3 linked regions of the Cricetulus griseus genome follow. The protein of the gene in region 1 purifies or fractionates together with the protein of each later gene. This does not show direct contact. Links are inferred from orthologs where the notes say so. Each region holds a gene or a part of one and is shown on either strand. Other genes may lie near its edges.

What was found. The genes of interacting proteins can lie anywhere in the genome.
Region 2: the proteins of Polr2b (region 1) and Polr2m purify together in Homo sapiens (affinity purification with mass spectrometry; 3 studies listed by BioGRID and IntAct, counting the BioPlex papers as one, with this or other methods). This does not show direct contact. The link is inferred for Cricetulus griseus from reciprocal best matches to the Homo sapiens genes POLR2B and POLR2M.
Region 3: the proteins of Polr2b (region 1) and Ints6 purify together in Homo sapiens (affinity purification with mass spectrometry; 3 studies listed by BioGRID and IntAct, with this or other methods). This does not show direct contact. The link is inferred for Cricetulus griseus from reciprocal best matches to the Homo sapiens genes POLR2B and INTS6.

The regions. Positions count from the first base shown.
Region 1 is NW_023276807.1:143,707,614-143,711,360, forward strand, and holds part of Polr2b (DNA-directed RNA polymerase II subunit RPB2), read left to right. Parts: intron 1-722; coding exon 723-887; intron 888-3,081; coding exon 3,082-3,278; intron 3,279-3,423; coding exon 3,424-3,543; intron 3,544-3,747. UniProt on the Homo sapiens protein: Catalytic core component of RNA polymerase II (Pol II), a DNA-dependent RNA polymerase which synthesizes mRNA precursors and many functional non-coding RNAs using the four ribonucleoside triphosphates as substrates.
Region 2 is NC_048597.1:182,991,142-182,995,585, reverse strand, and holds the start of Polr2m (protein GRINL1A), read left to right. Parts: upstream 1-1,436; 5' UTR 1,437-1,576; coding exon 1,577-1,689; intron 1,690-3,489; coding exon 3,490-4,128; intron 4,129-4,444.
Region 3 is NW_023276807.1:217,770,728-217,775,228, reverse strand, and holds the start of Ints6 (integrator complex subunit 6), read left to right. Parts: upstream 1-1,493; 5' UTR 1,494-1,984; coding exon 1,985-2,095; intron 2,096-2,445; coding exon 2,446-2,523; intron 2,524-3,320; coding exon 3,321-3,470; intron 3,471-4,501. UniProt on the Homo sapiens protein: Component of the integrator complex, a multiprotein complex that terminates RNA polymerase II (Pol II) transcription in the promoter-proximal region of genes.

The DNA of each region.
Region 1 (3,747 bases):
TTTAAGATTTATTTTTATTTAATGTGTATAAGCGTTTGGTCTGTCGTTTTTGTATGTGCACCATGTGCATTGCTAGTATTCACAGAGATCAGAAGAGTGCCTTGGATCATTTAGAATTGAGGTTAAAGATGGTTGTGAGTTCCCATGTGGGTGCTGGGACCTGAACCTGGGTCCTTTACAGGAGCAGCAAGTGCTCTTAACCACCAGACAATTTCTCCAGCACCCCTCACAATCTGCTTTTTATTCCCCTCCTACTGTGGACAGGGTGGCTTTTTATAACAGTTGTTTTTTTATTCTCTGGCTGCCAAAAGCCATTTCCAAATGTCAAATTTGTTCTTAGAGAATCTTGGCATGCAGATAGTAGAGAATGGAAGTTTTCTTAGATGTAAATGATCAGGTTGTTCATAAAAGCAGTAAACCTTAATCTCAGTATTCCAGAGGCACAGGCAGGCAGAGCATTGTGAGTTCTGGGCCAGTTGGGCTATTTGGTGAGACCCTGTCTCAAAAAAACAAAAACTTAAAAAAACAACAACAAAAAACCAACCAACCAACCAACCAAACAAAAACTTAGTAAGCCTCTTTCAGTGGTTTATAAAAGAAGCTTTAGGACAATGGATAGATATGCTTCTTTTGAAATATGTACTAAATGGGCCATTTGCTATCTTTTGTTTCTCTGAGCTCTTGTATACCCATGTTCTGATACCACTTGTTTTCTTTTCTAGGGTGCAAAGAAGAGTGCTATTGGCCAGCGCATTGTGGCAACCTTACCATATATCAAGCAAGAAGTTCCCATCATAATTGTGTTCAGAGCGTTAGGCTTTGTGTCTGATAGAGATATTTTAGAACATATCATTTATGACTTTGAAGATCCAGAGATGATGGAAATGGTAATGAGAAAGCAAATGCATGTTTCCTGTGTGTAAGAAGCTTAGAGATGCTGATTATTGCCAACCTTAAAGCATCACACATGCACTTAGGAGCAATTTGCCTGTCACACACCCGGGGCATTTACCGTGCAGTGAAAGCTCAGCTTGGCCCCAGTCTCTTCCTGACAGTAAAAGTGGAGGCAGCTGGAGTCTGACAGCAGCGGGAAGAAGCAGCAGTGAGGAAACTGAAAGGCCTCCAGGCTACAGTGGTTTAGTGAAACAGAAGATGAGTAGTTGATAGTTGGTTTTTTAATCTTTTTATTTGAAAAGAATTTCTAACTTTCAGGGATATTGTAAGAATACCACTAGAACTTTTTTTGGGTTTGTCACATTTTCTCTGTCTTATTCTTTTCTGGACCATTTGAGAATAAGTTGTAGATGTCATGTTTGTTTAATGCAGTGTTTATTTCCTAGGAAACAGAACATTCATTGATGTAATCATAGTATAATTATTTTTTGTTTTGTTTCACGAGACAAGAGTTTCTCTGTGTAACAGCCCTGGCTGTCCTGGAACTTGCTTTGTACACCAGGCTGGCCTTGAACTCATAGAGGTCTGCCTGCCTCTGCCCCCTGAGTGCTGGGATTAAAGGCGTGTGCCACTGCTGTCCAACCCAGTATACTTATTAAAATCAAGAAATTAAAAAATAAATCAAGCTGTTAGGATGACTCAGTGGATAAAAGCTCTTACTATACAAGCCTGACAACTTCAGTTCAGTACCCAAAACACACATAAAGGAGTAGAGACAACCAACTCGGCAGAGTATTCCCCAGCCTCCACAGCACACAGACATCACACACACCAGTAATAATACCTTAAACAGTAACTTTGTAATAGCAGTGGTACCAGGTGTCTTTTAAAAAATAATTACTTGACCCACCATCTATCTGTGGGAATTTTACTGTTTTTTTGTTTGAGGCAGGGTCTCATTTTTTAGCTCATGTTTGCCTAGATCTTACTATGTATACCAGGCTGATAGTCTTCTTGACTCTGTCTCACCAGTGCTGGGACTGCAGGCATGTGCCACCATGTCTGGCCTTGACTGGTTTATGTAGCTTTTTTTTTCTGACTTTTGATACCATAATTAAAATTTATGTTTAGAACTGTGGGTGGATGAGAGAAAACACATAAGTCACACTCTAGAAAAGCATTTCCATATGTATAAGGTACATGATGGATGCCAAACTACTTAGTGCTTCCCCTGATTTCTCCAGATTGTGATACTGACAAAAGCAATGCCTACTGTGATAAGAGGGTCCTTACCTTGATTTCTTATGCCCACTATTCTGTACAATTAGAAATTGAAAATTTTAAAATTGGAATAGTAGTCAGGAAAAAAATATAATGATCTTTTTATTTTATATGTATTGGTGTTCTGCCTGCATGTTTGTCTGTGTGAGGGTTTCAGAAGTCCTGGAATTGGAGTTACAGACAGGTCTGAGCTGCCTTGTGGTTCCTTTGGAAGAGCAAGCCAATGCTCTTAACTACTGAGCTATCTCTCCAGCCCCAGGAAAAGTGTTTTTTTGGGGGAGGGTGGGATGGGAATAGGGGTGCTGGAGATTAAACCTAGGTCCTCATATGCTACGCAAGCTCTCAGACAGTGAGTTACAGCCCTAGGAAGAATTATTTTATCTAGCCCTTTCCTAGATGAGGAAACTAGTAACTTGATTGCTCAGAGGTCATAGATAGTGGCAAGAATGAAATATAGGTCTGTTCAACAGTGCAGTGTGAAAATAGTCTCTTTTTCACTATAGTGAGTGATATCGTATAGAGGTTAAATGTTTCTTCCTGCAAGCACTGAAAAGAAAACCATTCATTTGTAGCTCTGCAAATTTTAATTGCACCATGAAACTTCTCTAAATATATTTGAAATATCTAGAAGAAATGTCTCATTTTTGGTTTTAAACTGTTGGTCATTAAAATATGAAAAGCAAAATACTACTTTTAAATTAGTAGAATTATATTTATTGAGAAAGTGGATTGCTTACATTGGGTGGATTTTGACAGACACTTCTGTATCTCTGAGGAACCTTGTAGATCTAAAATGTGGTCTCTTGACTTTTCTAACAATAGGCTAGAAACTTACTTCACGTGTCAATAAAGTCACGTTAGGTAAAAATATAAATCTGAAAAAGTTAACTATAATTTATTTGGTAGGTTAAACCATCTCTTGATGAAGCATTTGTCATCCAAGAACAGAATGTTGCCTTGAACTTCATTGGTTCAAGAGGAGCAAAGCCTGGTGTTACTAAGGAGAAAAGAATTAAATATGCAAAAGAAGTCTTACAGAAAGAAATGCTGCCTCATGTTGGTGTCAGTGATTTCTGTGAGACCAAAAAAGCCTATTTCTTGGGGTAAGTTAAATTTTACTGTTTGAAGATCTTTGCTAAGTTACAATTGAGATAAAGTGGTTTTCCATAAAGCTAAGGATGTTATAAGTTGTGTTTTGAGATATGTCAAGAAAGACCAAAAATCAAGTGTTTTCATTTTCTTTTGTAGGTATATGGTTCATAGGCTACTTCTAGCCGCTTTGGGTAGAAGAGAACTAGATGACAGAGATCACTATGGAAACAAAAGATTGGATCTTGCTGGGCCCCTGCTTGCATTCTTGTTTAGAGGGTAAGCATTACAGAATGACTTTGCCTAAGTAGAGAGAATTCATTACTTCATTATAGGTGGGTCTTCCTTAGTGTCCCAGAGTGGCTCACATGGTTTCTTTATACATGGGTGCTACAGATTTAAACTCAAGTCCTTATGCTTTCACAGATACTTTTACTAACTGACCCATTTCCTCAGATGCCTCGATCAGTTTTGATCATTGCC
Region 2 (4,444 bases), on another chromosome or scaffold:
GGCTTCCTGAGATGCAGCAGGGTTTGGAGGGAGATAGGAGATGGGAGGTTTGGGTAGAACTTCAACAATAACATTCCAGATTCTTTGGGTATATGGATGCCAGGGCCTGGGGTGAAGCTTCCACTATAACAATGAACACCTATACAAAAATGTTGACAGTGATTTGATTTATGATCATTAATAACTGAAAACAACTCAAATATCATTCAGCATAAACAAGCTCACATAGTACAATACTACTTAGCAATATAAAGAAACATTGGCATAGATGAACTTCAAGATCATTACACTAAACATTAACAAAGCCAGACTCAGAAATTATCAAACTATTTTCCAAAGAGGTTCTACTATTTGCAAACCCCTCCCTGTTTAGCTGTCTATGGAAATCTCAGATCTTCTTCTTTCTTCTTCTTCTTCTTCTTCTTCTTCGTCTTCTTCCTCCTCCTCCTCCTCCTCTTCCTCCTCCTCCTCCTCCCTCCTCCTCCTCCTCCTCTTCCTCCTCCTCTCTCCTCCTCCTCCTCCTCCTCCTCCTCCTCCTCCTCCTCTTCTTCTTCTTCTTCTTCTTCTTCTTCTTCTTCTTCTTCTTCTTCTTCTTCTTCTTCTTCTTCTTCTTCTTCTTCTTCCTAACACTTGACAGGGTCAGTCTAATTCCTGATATTCTGATTTGTCCAAATATCCAAATCTTGTTGTTTTGTTTGTCTTGAGACAGGGACTCACTATGTCGCCTTGGCAGGTCTCAAACTCACTATGTAGATCAGGCTGGTCTTGGACTCACAGAGATTAGCCTGTCTCTGCCTCCCAAGTGCTGAGATTAAAGGCATGCACTACCACGCTTAGCTATATTGTGTTTATAAAATGCATTTTATAATTGCTAGTAATACTGGTCATTCATTGTTTTTTAAATATTTATTATGTTTTGATTGTGTGTGTGCTCGTATGTGTGTGCATGTGAACCAGGTGCCTGCAGAAGCCAGGGAAGGTTGTGAGATGCCCTAGAGGTGCAGTTAAAGGCAATTGTAAGCTACCCCACAGGGGTGCTGTTACCCAAGTTCTAGTCCTCTGCAAGAGCACTATGCACTCTTAACCACTGAGCCATCTCTACAACCCCCTGTCATTTATTTTTACGGTTATTAGTGTTCATTCAGGAATCCCTGTGAAATGTTTGTCCAAACACTGTACTGCTTAATTGAGATGTGACACTATTACTTCTGGCATACTTTGCTTAATAGAAGTGAGTCAGTAAGTCTTTGACATGGGTGTCCTATACTTTCTCAAAGCGAAGTCGAAAAGCTGGGAAAGCAAAGGACACACATCCAGCGAAAGCGCGCCAAACCCAGACACTTCTGCGGTGATGTAACTTCCGCCCCTGAGCTCTTCCTCGGGCGCCCCCTTGCTCCTGGCCCGGTCCGTTTCCGGCATTTCAATAAAGCTCCATTCGGCTCGAAGAAGCCGTGCTCTTCCGGGAAAATGGCGACTCCCGCTCGCGCGCCCGAGTCGCCGCCGGCCGCGGAGCCTGCTCCCGCCGTGGGCCCCGCCGGGGAGCCGTGCCCTCCGCGTCAGCCGCAGCCCGTGCACAATGTTCTCGCTGCCCCGCGGCTTCGAGCCCCCAGCTCCCGAGGACTTGGGGCAGCGGAGTTCGGCGGAGCTGCGGGAGAGGTTGAGGCGCCAGGAGAGACTTTTGCGCAACGAGTAAGCGGTGGCTCGGGGGTCGCGGTTGCGGGGAATCGGGACCGGGATCAAGGGATAGGCTCTCGGGGGTAGAGATCCGGGACCAGCCTCCCGCTCCCCGCCGCGGCCTTTCGGGCGAAGGTGACCTTGCGTGGTCATGCCTCCTGGCCAGGCCCGTGCTGCGCGCGGCGTTCCTCCATGCTGCCTGGCCCTCAGCAGGCAGCAGCGCCTGCTCCATTCCACGTCCCCACAGCGGCTTTGAGAAAACGTAACCCTGGGGACCCAGTCCTTGCGACCAGACGGCGTCGATCCCCGCTTCTCTATCTAGAGCCCCACTCTTTCCCAAAGCAAAGGAGACGGGGAGAGTGTGCTGTAAAGATGGGCTAATTAGGCCTAGAAAGTTTCGCTCCCGCGTAGTAGGGTGGATGATGATAGCTGACGTTTTAATTTTTAAAGGCAGCTTTGTTTAGGAGCGGGGTTGAGGTAATAAGAGGCAGAAGACGCCAAAAATGTATTTTTTTCCGAGAGATTTTTTTTCAGCAAGATGGGAAGGTGAACTGTGAAGGCAATCGAGAAACTGGGAAAACTTAAGTACTGGTGAAATAATTTGGAGATAAATACATATTCATAGTTAACAGGTGGTTGAAATTTCTGGGGAGCCACAAAGGATAATGAGAAAATTGGGAGAGAGGAATGGATTCAAGGTTAATTTTTTTTTTTTACGCGGGTGTATTTAGTGGAGGGGAATAATGGCAGGCGTTTAGTTAGTTAAAAGCCAACTGATTAAACCCTGAGAAATGGGTACTAGGCTCAAGAGAGGGCTGAATAAGCAGAGGAACCCCAGTTGCAGAGAGGCAGAAAACATGAATGTGGTGTGGTATCGGGAATAATAGAGGACCTAAGAGATCTTCATTTGTTATGTAACTAAGGGAAAGAACCAGAAAGGGAATTTCACTGAGCAAAAGGGGCCAGTGAGCACTGGAGACAGGTATTGTTTTGATTCTTTTTTTTTTTTTTTCTTCTTTTTTTCTCCAGAATGGGTTGTTAATAATAGCAATAAATTAACCTTTTGATCTCAGGACATTTTTAGATTCTTTAAGAATCACTGGGCATCCCTAAGAGCTCCTGTTTATTTATACTGGCAATATTGCTGATTTAACAGAAACAACTTAAGTCTTTCACAAAAACACATAAGTCCATCTTCCTTTGTAAGATAGTGATGTATTCTATTATGTGACCTCTGTGAAACCTGTTGTACTCAGCTTTTATGACAGAAATGGCAAATAGTGCTTTTGACCCATTTTTCAGCCTCATTAGGGTTCAAAGACCATATTTTTAAAACCACTAGTCTTTATTTATATTGAACAGGTTGAATATCTGCTTTCCTAAATACACAAACCAGAATTTTATATTTTTAGGGAGATTGGAATGTATATGTGAGTGTATTGGGACGGTATCGAGTTAAGACCCAAGTCTCAAAATGATTTCAGTTGTTTCTTATATATGACTTTCAAGGTAATTTTGTGTTGTGTTCTTTATAGCTTGGGTTTTGACTGCATCTCATCATGTGGCAAGGTGTGAAGTTTTCCACAGGGCAGTCATTGTCTGGGCTTGAAGAATTTCAGATTTTAGATTGGGAAAATATCTGATGGGTTCCTGTATTAGGCCAGATAAAAATCAGATTTATTTTGAAAAAACTTCAAAGCCAGCTTTTCTTTGAGGATTATATTCTGCCTTTTAAATACCGTGTTTTCATGTTTAAAAACATGGCTCTAATGTGTACATGTTGGTTTCTTTCTTTCTTTTTTTTGCATTTGACAGAAAATTCATTTGCAAATTGCCCGACAAAGGTAAAAAGATTTCAGACACCGTTGCCAAACTGAAAGCTGCCATTGCAGAACGTGAAGAAGTTAGAGGGAGAAGTGAACTGTTTCATCCTGTTAGTGTAGACTGTAAGCTAAGGCAAAAAGCAACCACACGAGTTGATATCGACATAGACAAGGCCCAGAATTCTGACCTGATGCTTGATACTTCATCATTAGTTCTTGACTGTTCCTCTGTAGACATCAAATCATCTAAAACAACCTCAGAAACACAAGGACCTGTACATCTCACTCACAAAGGCAATGAAGAGACTTTGGAGGCTGACTGCACAGTGAACACCGGCCCTGTTCCCGGCAGTACAGCCAGGGCACCCTCATCTGAAGTTAACAAACATCTCCCCCAACGCCCTGTTTCAAGTCAAGTGGAAGACATTTCCAGCAGCATTGACAGTCTGTTTATCACTAAGTTGCAGAAGATCACAATTGTAGACCAGAGTGAACCCTCAGAAGAAAACAGCAGCTCTGAGAACGTGCCGGAGCTCCAGAGTGAGACGCCTAAGAGGCCTCATTACATGGAAGTGCTAGAAATGCGAGCCAAGAACCCAGTGCCCCCTCCTCATAAGTTTAAGACCAATGTGTAAGTGTCACAGAACAGGGAACAGGCTTGTCCCAAGAATGTTTCATGTGGTATGCCAGTTCAGAGAGTGCTGTGTGTGTGTGAGGATCTTCTAAGCAGGAGTGAACATAACTGAAAATAGACCAGCATGGCTGGACTGGAGGACTGCTCTTGAAGTCATCGGAAGGATTTTACATAGCAAATGGGGAGTAGTGTGTTTCAAGATACTTAGCCAATATTTCATAATAAACACAGTGGGAGGGCAGATGCATCATGACTTTTCAGTACCATTTGCTAGTATGCAGATCCCCCTCAATTGCTGTGTAAGCTGAGAGAG
Region 3 (4,501 bases), about 74 Mb from region 1:
AATCTCATGCCTCGCCGGGCGTTGGTGGTGCACACCACACTTTTAATCCCAGCATTGGAGAATTAGAGGCAGGCGGATCTCTGTGAGTTAGAGGTCAGCCTGTTCTCCACAGCGAGTGACAGGAGAGGCTCCAAAGCTACACAGAGACACCCTGTCTCAAAATACAAAACAAAACAAACAAAAAACTCATGCCTCTACTATGGTTCATTCCCACAAAACAGTATGCTATAATTTGTTTTTAATAAATTAAAAACTTTCCGAGTTCTTTTTTTCCCTCTGAAATATTAGGAAAAGCCCAAACAACAAGGGCAGATTAAAAAAAAAAAAAAAGTGTCACAAACATGCCACTTCAGTTGCCCAGCAGGCCAGAATTTCAGCATAGAGAAAATCCGGAAATGCAGGACCGGTGGGAAAGGCCCTATAAATACCTACAGTCTAACCAGGCCTCTATGTCCCAAATTCAACTTGTGTATCAGGCAGCGTCCTGCAGTTTTCCAACTACACTTGAGAACAATTCATACGTCTTGCAGGCGCAGATTGAAGGCTTCAGGTAATGTGACATGGGCAGAGAATTTTTCTGACACAATACTGGCAGGGACTGAAAGGCGGGTTTCCGGGAAATCTATTCTCTGGGTCACCTGCGCAACGTGGTCATCCTTTCCATTTTAAAACGAGGGCAGTGGATTAGAATCTGGCAAGCTCCTTTTTTTCTTAATATACTCTAGTGCCCAAACACGAGTGGAAGAGGGGAACTTGGTTGGGGAGGACCGCTGTTTTCCTGGTCCATACTTGAGTTCCCCTTCGTGTTTGCAGGGTTGGGGGAGGCACTCCAGGACTGGCTTCCCTTTCTGTGGGTGCTCTGACTCGCTGCAGCCGGAGCCGAATGACTGGCGGGGATTAGCACCAGGTCATAAACAACCTTTCACTTCCCCTCCCCCCTGGGCCGTCCCGGGGCCCGGCCTGCAACGGCCGCGAGGGCCTGCGCGGTTCCCTAGCCCCGGCCAGTTGGCTCTCCTCAGCCCTGCACTCTCAATCGCGACGCAGAGCCCTCGCCCACAGGCTGAGGGCGGCTTCCACTTCCCCTCTCCCGACCCTGTCACCGAGCACAGCCCAAAGGCCGGCCGCCCTGACACGCACGCCCACAGCCGCTGCCGCCCTGCGCGGGCCGACCCAGTCCCCGCCCCCATCCGCCGCGCTTCCGCGGCGTGTCCCCGCCCCTTCCCGGAGCCCGCCTCCCGGCTGCGGGACCTGCGGCCGCCCCTCGCGCTGGCTCTAGCGCGCACCCGGTGCCCCGCCTCCGCGCGTGCTCAATAACTGTCCTCTGAGTCTGCCTACAAGCTTCCCCCGCCCCTGAGCTGTTTGAATATGCTAATAAGGCTCTAAGGACCAGCCAGTAGAACTGCGGGCCTGCGCATCACGTGACACGAGTACGTGTCAGGGGCGGAGCCTACGTAGCCCCTGCCCGAGTTAAAACCGGAGAGTGAGAGAGAAAAGCGCTTCAGTAGCGAGAGGGGCTGAGAAAGTGGTGACACCGCTGGGGTGCGGAGGGAGTCCCTGAAACTTCTCCCAACAGCCCCAGGGCCAATCTCCCCTCAGCCCAGTCCCCTCTTCGCCAGATCCCTGGTCCCCACTCCCTGCACTGGGGGTGGGGTGGGGAACTGGGCCCGTCTCCCGCGGGGACACACACAGGGGCCGGGAGTGGGGACGGGACCCCCAGGCGGGGGGGACGGACGGACAGGCGTCCGTGCGGCCGCCCCAGCAGGCAGGCAGGCAGGCCGGAGGCAGGGGTACGACCGGGAGGACCTGGGCTGGGGAGTTTCCTCTCAACTATCGGGGGAGAAACTCCCCGCAGCCGGTGTTTTCCTCCCGGGGGCCGCGTTCCCCGCCCCGCGTAGCGGCGGTTGCCGCCGCCGCCGCCGCCGCCGGTGCTTCCACCTCTGCCATCTCTTCACCACCTCGGGCCCCGGTGTCCCCGGCCAGCACTATGCCCATCTTACTGTTCCTGATAGACACGTCTGCCTCTATGAACCAGCGCAGCCATCTGGGCACCACCTACCTGGACACGGCCAAAGGCGCGGTAGAGACCTTCATGAAGGTACCGACTGACCGAGCCCCGGCGGCGACCCCGACCCGGTGGCCCGCGGGGGGCAGGGCGGGGGGCGGCGGGGCTACTGCGGGCGCCTCGGGCGCGGGGACCCCTCCCACCGCGCGGGCGTGCGGGCGGGCGGGGCGAGCGGGCGGGCGAGCGGGCGAGCGGGCGGGCGCTGGGAGCTGGGAGCGGGCTCCGCTGGGCCTGGCCCATGTGGGGCTACTGTGGGTGCGGGGGTCGGCGGAGTGGTGGCCCTGTGTGTACGGTACTGTGGGGGCGGCCAGCGACCCTTCTGCGACTGGTAACCTCGCCTCTGTGCTTCCTTCTCTCCCTCCCGTCCCCACCCTGGCCCGCAGCTCCGTGCCCGGGACCCTGCCAGCAGAGGAGACAGGTATATGCTGGTCACTTTCGAAGAGCCGCCCTATGCTATCAAGGTAACAGCCCTCGCCCTCCCCCCTCCCTTCCCTGCTCCTTCCTAGCTCGCCCTCCCCGCCCCCCTCTTCATTATGCTCCCCTCCCCCACCGCGGCTCCCGCCTCCAGGTCCCTTCCCCTGTGGCCTCCCACCCCTCCCCAGCTCGGGAGCGCCGGCGCGGTGGCAGTTTCTGGCCCACCGCCGTCCCCTCCGGGTCTGGCTCGGCCTGGCGGTGGAGGCGCTACGATCAACATGGCCGACATTTCCCCTCCGCGGCGTGAGCGGCAGCAATGAACTGTGGGGGATATTTATTCAAGTTAGCCCGAGTGACAGCCGGGCCCAGCCTTGCCTAGCCAGGGTTTGCATTAAAAGGGAATCAGCCAAGCTGGCAGGGAAGCCAGGAGGGGGGCTTCGAGACTTGGTCATCACAGAGTGGAACTAGGAAGGCCACCGATTGGTGGGACAGCTGTGGTCAACTTAAGAAGTCCTGCTGCCATCTGCCTTCCACTAGTACCTTCGCAACACCCACCCCTTACACACAATTTGGAGGATGTTATGTTAGCGAATTTCCCAGTGAAGTTATTAAAGTATTAAGACTGTGTAGGGCAAGCAGGTTCATTCTTGGCCACCTTTGGAAGAGATTTCCTCACCCAGAGACAACAGTTATAACATGTGACCCAAGCCATATCAATCAAAAGTGAAGTTAACTATACAAACCCGAAGTGGAATGCCTGCTTGGTGGACATCACATTATAATCGGTGTCCATGTGTGCTGTGGCTTCAAATGATAAAAAAAATTCTTACATCTTTCTTTTCAGGCTGGATGGAAAGAAAATCATGCAACGTTTATGAATGAACTGAAAAACCTTCAGGCAGAAGGACTTACGACTCTTGGCCAATCCCTAAGGACAGCTTTTGATTTGTTAAATTTAAATAGATTAGTAACTGGCATAGACAACTATGGGCAGGTAGGTTGAATACTAAGGTAGAAAAGTTGTTTTTATTTATGTGTACAAAAACACAATCCAGTCCAAAAGTATGCAACATGAAATGCAAGTATAAAACATAACAAGGTTGAAATTTAGTGTGCACACAGTTCAAAACACCTAAGGTGTATGAGTTCCCTCATTTTCCCCTTTAAGTGTATTTCCCTGTAGACTTCGAATCTAAATTCTTGGCTATAAAGTTGACATGAATTTGGTTTCAGTCCCTCAAAGTTCATAAAAGACATCAAGGGGAAGATACCCTGTGAATACACCACTCTGAAACTATGCCACGTGTAGGTACATATGTAACTACTGCAGTGGGTCACAGCTGTCCCGTTGACTGCAGTTTCTTCTATATTAGTAAAGACATTGGAAGACATGACTGTTAGATGAGGGTTTAGCTTAACCTAGATTGTATACTTGCAAAGGTGAGATTTGTCAGTAGTGCAGTCATTGGTTGACATTCAGATGTCTCTTGAGGCCTATACTATTAGAAGTTACTATAGTAGGAAGTCTGAAAGTAATGACAGATTGAGAATTTTTAAAGTTTAAAATTTCAAAACCCTTGGGAAAATGTTTTCTGGGAAACATGAAAACTTGCCTGTCTTTCTGAAGCTCCTCAAAGTTCCTCTCATTTGTGAGGATGAGGCAAGAGCTTTAAGTCACAGCAGTCATTTACCAAGGAAATGTGAGATGATCCATTTATGATATGCTATCCTAGAAATAAAAGATAACAAAGAATATGTATTGCTGCACACCAGTAGTATCACACCCAAGAAATTCAGTATGCAAAGCACTATTACCATAATACTATATTTAGGAATATATGTTATATACTCTTCCCAAGTTCCATAATGCACAGTTCTCATGAATTTTGAACATCTCAGGGAAATTCTTCCTGTGACTTCACAAGCTATATTCCTCATTTGAGGATAACTCTTAAACACATATCCTCCTTTAAAAATGGTGGAATTTAGTCCTATAGCATTTAAAGTATGCATTACTAGTCAGAC